2 linked regions of the Drosophila melanogaster genome follow. The protein of the gene in region 1 interacts with the protein of each later gene in a pairwise test. Each region holds a gene or a part of one and is shown in the gene's direction. Other genes may lie near its edges.

The links. Proteins that work in one complex are often made in the same cells at the same time.
Region 2: the proteins of CG17361 (region 1) and Ets65A interact in a two-hybrid assay, tested with the Drosophila melanogaster proteins (one large-scale study listed by BioGRID).

Annotation. Positions count from the first base shown.
Region 1 is NT_037436.4:13,995,324-13,998,669, forward strand, and holds CG17361 (uncharacterized protein), read left to right. Parts: upstream 1-1,867; 5' UTR 1,868-1,882; coding exon 1,883-2,515; 3' UTR 2,516-2,732; downstream 2,733-3,346. Other genes in the region: CtsK1 (cathepsin K1), read left to right, coding at 1-457, 537-1,147; CG17359 (uncharacterized protein), read right to left, coding at 2,840-3,346.
Region 2 is NT_037436.4:6,095,773-6,099,530, forward strand, and holds the start of Ets65A (Ets at 65A), read left to right. Parts: upstream 1-1,844; 5' UTR 1,845-2,699; intron 2,700-3,758. Other genes in the region: loj (logjam), read left to right, coding at 1-140, 212-379, 434-490.

The DNA of each region.
Region 1 (3,346 bases):
TACGAGCACGATGATATTCCCAACGAGGTGTTCGAGATCGATGACAGCCTGCAGTGCGTCGGATTCCCCGGACCCGGCACCGGTCACTATGCCACCTTCAATCCCATGCAGGAGTTTATATCCGGAACCGATGAGCATGTGGACAAGGCCTTCCACCATTTCAAGCGCAAGCACGGAGTTGCTTATCACAGCGACACGGAACACGAGCATCGCAAGAACATCTTCCGTCAGAACCTGCGCTACATCCACTCAAAGAACAGGGCCAAACTCACCTACACGCTGGCCGTTAATCACTTGGCCGACAAGACCGAAGAGGAGTTGAAGGCACGACGAGGATACAAATCATCGGGCATTTACAACACCGGCAAACCGTTCCCCTATGATGTGCCCAAGTACAAGGACGAGATTCCCGACCAGTACGACTGGCGGCTATACGGCGCTGTCACTCCGGTGAAAGGTGGGTTCATTCATTCCCTAAGTACTTACTTAGATGAATTTGATAATATTGAATTGCTTAAAACGTAAACTACCCTTAGATCAATCTGTGTGCGGATCGTGCTGGTCATTTGGCACCATTGGTCACCTGGAGGGCGCCTTCTTCCTGAAGAATGGCGGCAATCTGGTCCGGCTTTCCCAGCAGGCGTTGATTGACTGCTCGTGGGCCTATGGCAACAATGGCTGCGATGGTGGCGAGGATTTCCGCGTGTACCAGTGGATGCTGCAGTCCGGCGGAGTGCCCACGGAGGAGGAGTACGGTCCCTATCTGGGCCAGGATGGCTACTGTCACGTCAACAACGTGACGCTGGTGGCACCTATTAAGGGATTCGTCAATGTGACCTCCAACGATCCAAATGCCTTCAAGCTGGCTCTGCTCAAGCACGGTCCTCTGTCGGTGGCCATTGATGCTTCTCCCAAGACATTTAGCTTCTACTCGCACGGAGTTTACTATGAGCCAACGTGCAAGAACGATGTAGATGGACTGGATCATGCTGTCTTGGCCGTGGGCTATGGCTCGATCAATGGAGAGGACTACTGGCTGGTGAAGAACTCGTGGTCCACCTACTGGGGCAACGATGGCTACATCCTGATGTCGGCCAAGAAGAACAATTGCGGTGTTATGACCATGCCCACTTATGTGGAGATGTAGATTGTCCCGCTCCCGCCTACATATTTCTTATTTTGTGTACTCTTTTTATTTTTACGCCCACAGGGCGCTAAATATGCAATACATTTCATAAACTCTTTTGTAATCCAAGTCTTTTGAATCTTATCACTGCTCCGCTTGGCTGGAAATGGAGCTAAGTTTAGCTTGGGTCATTATCTCCGCAGTCCATGGTGTTTCTTAAGTTAATTCCATGCCGATAAGCCGATAAGCCTAGAAGACAATGACCAGTTACCAGTTGAACTTTGCGCAAGTTGCAACAGTTTTATGCGAATCGGGGTCTTTGCCATTTGTAGTGGAAATCATTTCTACAGTAAAAACTCGCTACATTTTTAAAAATTTTAATCATTTAATTTCATCAATATTAAATTAAACATATAATTAGTTTTAAGAATCTTTACTTTGAATAATGATTCTAAAAATAAGTATACCTTCTTATTTAAAAAACTTGCAAGCAAAGCATTGAATTTTTACATTAAACCCGTTTTACAGTTTTTCAATTAAAATAAATTAAAAATATAACATGAAGAATACTTTCAACTGATTCTACAATTTTCACTGCTACTACATTTCATTTTAGATTAATTGTTCATTTTAAATAATATATTTATAAGTTAATTTGATATAACAACAAATAAGTCTAAATTTAAATACATATTTATTGGCATAGATGTTGCATCCCTGGAATTGCGCCAATTGGTATTTTTCTGTTTTGGCTTGATGGTCATCCGATACAGTTTAGTTATTCTTTTTGAATTGTATTTGCTTGGAATCGAAGGAAGCAACGAAGCCATGGATGAATTGGTGAAGATGTGCCGGGTGTGTATGGACGAGCCGAAGGACCTGCTAGACATCTACGACAACAAGAGCTTGGGGGACAGACTGAGCGACGATCTACAGCGAACCAAGGAACCGGAGCCCACGCCGGCTGATTTGCTGAATATCTGCAGCGCATATCCAGTGGATACCGGGGACGGCTTTCCGCTGAAAATTTGCGAACCGTGCCTTATTAAATTGCGTGAGGCCTTGAGATTCAGGAGACGCTACACAAGGACCATGGAATACGTGGCGCGCGTGAAGAGGGAGCAAAGCGACAAGGAGACATGCGATCTCCTGGAGGCCGAGGATTGGGATTTTACGGATCGCATCAAGAGCGAGGAGGAGGAGGAGGAGGACGATGGGGACCGGAACGATAAGCAGCCGAAGAAGGAGACTCGCAACGAGGTGGATAAGAGGCGGCCCTTCAAATGCACCGACTGCCAAAAAAGTTTCACCGGCAAGGCCCAGTTGACCATGCACAGGCGCACCCACACCAAAGGATCCACAAGGACCAGACGAAAAGCTCTTAAATAGTCCTTGGCAACGCTTGGCAAAATGTAGCCAACTAAAATAGTAATTAATCATCTTGTATCATCGTTTTAAAAATAAGTTCGATATATTTTTAAAGTAGAAACAAGTTAGCGACTAATAATGAAAGTACATATGGAGTGTAGTTTTAAAAACAATTTCATGTTCTCATATTGACAATAAGATAATAAAGAAATGATAATCGGATCGATTCACAACAGTTTTTAAGCAGCTTTCTCACTTTGGTTGCGATTACTAGCTTTGTCGATTTCAAACAAGAAATTATTATATGGACATTCAATATATGAAAATACCTTTAACAAATCTTAACTATTTAAACTTATTTCTTTTTGTTTCTTGGCTGCTCGTCCGTCGCTTCCCTCGCGTGTGTGCTGACATGTGTTTTTGTAGGCCGTTTAGTTGCTTGAAGCTTTGCTGACATTTGGAACATTTGAACGGCTGTTCGCCAGTATGAGTCCGGGTGTGGACTTGCAGTTGCCCAACTTGCCGGAAGCGCTTGGGGCAGTTCGGACAACCGAAGGGACGCTCGCCGGTGTGACAACGTGTGTGGCTCTGCAGGTTGCCCTTCTGGGCAAAGGATCGCGGACATAGGGAGCACTTGTAGGGTCGCTCGCCAGTATGTATGCGCATGTGAATCTCTAGGTTTTGTTTTTGGGTGAACGACTGTGTGCAGAGCTTGCACCGATATGGTCCGGGAACCCTTTTCGGTTTGCCCCGTTTTGAGGCGTTCCAGATTTTATCATCATCTTCGTGTTCAAGCTCACTATCCGGGCTCCATGAGTCATTGTCCGAGTAGGATCTCGCCCTCCTCTTGGA
Region 2 (3,758 bases), 7.9 Mb from region 1:
ACTCCGTCTGCATTGACAACCAGTTCTCCCGATTCGCTGGCAAGCTGGTCAACATCTATATCACGGTGGTGAAGTACGATGCATGGGACAAGTACGCCAAGGAGATCGAGCAGCTGCAGCTGAACATGCAAAACTTCACTGTAAGCCAAACTGGTTTTCAGACACACCCAAACATCCATTTACAAATATTCACATTGATCTATTTCTTTAGGCCACCGTTGGCACTGTGGAGCGCAACATCAACGATATGATGGGCTATCAAGCCCACAGTCGTCATCGCGAATCGCGTGATTATGCGTTGCTCCTGGACAACAATGCCTATATTCAAACCTTCTCGATTAGCCAAATTGTGGTCATATTGATCACGTGCTCTGTACAGGCGAGTATAGACATGTTTTTTGCTTTTCCTAAATTAATAACCTAATATTTGCAGGTATTCTTTGTGCGCAAACTATTTGAAGTAAAATCGAGCTCCAAAAGTCGCATCTAAGGCGCAAAGATACTTTTCAAAGACTTCGCAACATGTTTCTAAAATTCCATCCGCATTTCCAAGACATTCATTCTATTCTACCTGCTGAATGAGTTTTTGTAACTTATTTTATCACTGGCTAATTGATCAAGCGCAACTGAGCAGACTTTTTTATAATTGGGACTACTTATGTCATACGAGTTATAGACAGCAAAACTTATTGTGATAAGTGTACATTTGTGTGTTTTGTTTAATTAAAAGATTGAAGATTTTTGTATTTGCTTTGTTTTATTTGGGAAAGAACCTTAAGGATTTATTCGAAGCCATTTGGGTTTGTTAATTTACTAAAAGCTCTACAAGCTTTAAAGTTAAGCTGCTTTGGTAAGCTCACTTAACCGTTAAATTTCATTATCCTGGAAAGGATTTTAAACTTAAAAATATATAATTCAGGTTGTTGTTTTAAGAAACCTGTTTTTCTTTTTATATGGGAGTAAGTTATTTTCAAATTACGACATTGTTGCAAAGACATCTTCTCGTTGCCTAAAACCAATCTTAAATATTAAATACATGCTGTACATGAGCTCATTAGTTTAAATTGAGAGCTGAAGACATTTCGAAGACATTCCACAACTTGGGCTGGCAAATTAATCACCCCGAATGCCGCTTATCGCAAATTATCCTGCCCCATCCATCGCAGGACCTTAAATCATGTCACCAGGCTCACCGCTTATCTAGACGTCATTTAGCACATGTGTGTGTGCTCTGCAGCAGCTGGCATGTTAATTATATCCTTTTTGGCAGGCAGCAGGAGCATCTGGGTATCTTGGCGGGTCTTTTGTGGCCACTGCTGCTCGAAATTAAAATGTTATTATGCGAGGCTTATCTGCGGGCCTTAAAGCCACCGCAAAACTAAGGTCCTAATGGCCTCGCACACCAGCACACGCTCTTTAACTGTTTTAAACGCCATTGTTAAAATATTGCTCATACGCACTTCCGCCCAAAATGGGGTCTTCTCTCTTCGGCAGCACTAATGATGCCCCAAGAACGCGGAGCAAAGGACCCGGCGAAAGGCAGGAGCATCCACAGCCATAGCCACATCCACATCCACATCCCCGATGGCACAGAGTTGGCTCCGCCCACCAGCAGCCGATGACAGCGGCAGATAACAGAGCAGCGGCAAAGTGGGCGGTGGATGGGGTTGTGGTGCGGAGAGCGCGCCTGCGCATTAGCCGCCGCAGAAACGCAGGACGATGGGGTGACACATCCTCGGTGATAGCGCCCAGTTCCCCTGCCACACAGAGCCACCGCTTGTGGGAGGAGTGTGTCGCCATCTTTGAGCGTGGACTGGTGACTGGACGGGATGATCTGGCCGCCACATTAACTTGGAGTGCGCGCTACCAAGTGCAACACGTCGCGGACGACATAATAGCGGTACTTTGCGGTTTAGATTCGTCGGTCACACGTCGTCAATATTCCCGGGACAAGGACCAAACTAGCGAACCTTTCTTGGTCAGCACAAGCGGCAAACGAAGGCACAAAAACCACAAAAAACACAAAGCACACACACGGCACACACTTGTACACTTACACACGGCAAGCAGTGCGGAAAACTTGGACACATACGCCCAGCTTGTTGCTGGCTGTGGGCGTGGCAGCGCACGAAAAAGAAACAGACAAGGACACACACATGTGTCCTGCCAGTGTGTCGCGGAAATTTTTGTGCGGAAATTATAGAAATTTCGCTTTTTGATTTCATTTTCGTTCCGCTTTCGTTGCGAACCTCTCACCCCTCGCCACCCACCACCACCCACCTTTTGTGCACCTGCACCTGTGCGAAAAGACATCGAGAAATGCCCAAGGAGCCCGCTGCCGTCGGTGTCCAGTTGGCTTGGTGGTCGTCGCCGTCATCGTCCTTGCAGTGACAAATTTCCTTGCATATCCGCTCCAGGACTACGAAACTTTGGCTGCAAACAAAACCGTCATTTGCGTGGCGCGTCGCTGTCGCGTTCACTTGTCGCATATCCGTCGCCATTTTGACAATAATTTCATTTCCGGTTGGCAATTTGTACGCACTTGAGTGAGTGATTAACTGCACCGATTCCCAACGATTGTGAAGTGTTTAAGATTACTAAGTTGTAACTTAAGTTGTCCCGACGGAAGTTTAAGAGACAGTCAAAGAGGAGACTTATTTTTGGATAAACTTTATTGCACATACAGGCACAATCCTGAGGTGAGTTATGTTCGAATTATAGAATGATCAACATGATTCAGAACTCCGACGGGGTCCTAAATAACTAATGTATTTTTAAGTGCTTTGTTGAACCAAAGTTGAAGTAAATTAAAGATAATATCGTAACGGTAGAATTTTATTCAAAAATTGAAAACATACTCCTAGGCTTAAATGGGGAAAATCTCCAGCATAAAATGGGGAAAATATTAAATGCATAAAAATATTTGAAATGTACGAATTCAGAATACCAGACATGTTGAAGTCTATTTTAAATCTAAAAATTTATAACCAATGTCAGTAAAGAATAATTACAATAATAAACTTTAATATTTTGATAGAATTTATTTCGAATTTCTAAGATATTTGTAAACTATGATACTTTCTATTCAAACATTCTGATCTGATAAATTAAATCCACTTACATAGAATTTTGAGCGCTTAGATACAGCACCTGTGAACTTAGATGGTTGCTTTTAATTTCTAACTAACGACAGTTATCCAACCCCTAAAAAGCTCACCCCACCATCATCAGATAATTGTGAAGCATATGTTTCTGCTAATCGAATTAGTAGACTTAAAACGGAAGTATTCATAAACCAGAAAAAAAGCACATCAGCAGCATCATTGGGTAAAAGCTTGACAATTAAACAGCAGCACAGTTTCATCAACCAGTCGGCTGTGCAAACATTCAAAAATCCTAATTTCCTAAAATCGCATAAAAATCTTACAAACCATTAAAGAGCAGCCAAACGTGTGGCCTCTTAATTAAAGGATCTCTCGTCCAACAAGGGGATTACACCATTAACAGCTGTCGAAGAGCATAAACTCGGCAATCACAGCGATACCAAGTGGTATTCAAAGGACTCAGCACGCGCTGCAGAACGGGACGAGCATTCAGCCCATCTGCAGACCGACATCCTGGCATCCCGCTCGTATTTCCGGTGTGCGCGCGTTCGCTCAGCGATTGTGATAACTTGGGGAATACAAGGATACCAGAATACAAAAAAAATAAAATGTCTGCCTGCTAATGTTCGCTGGTGAAATTTGCCTACATGCAAA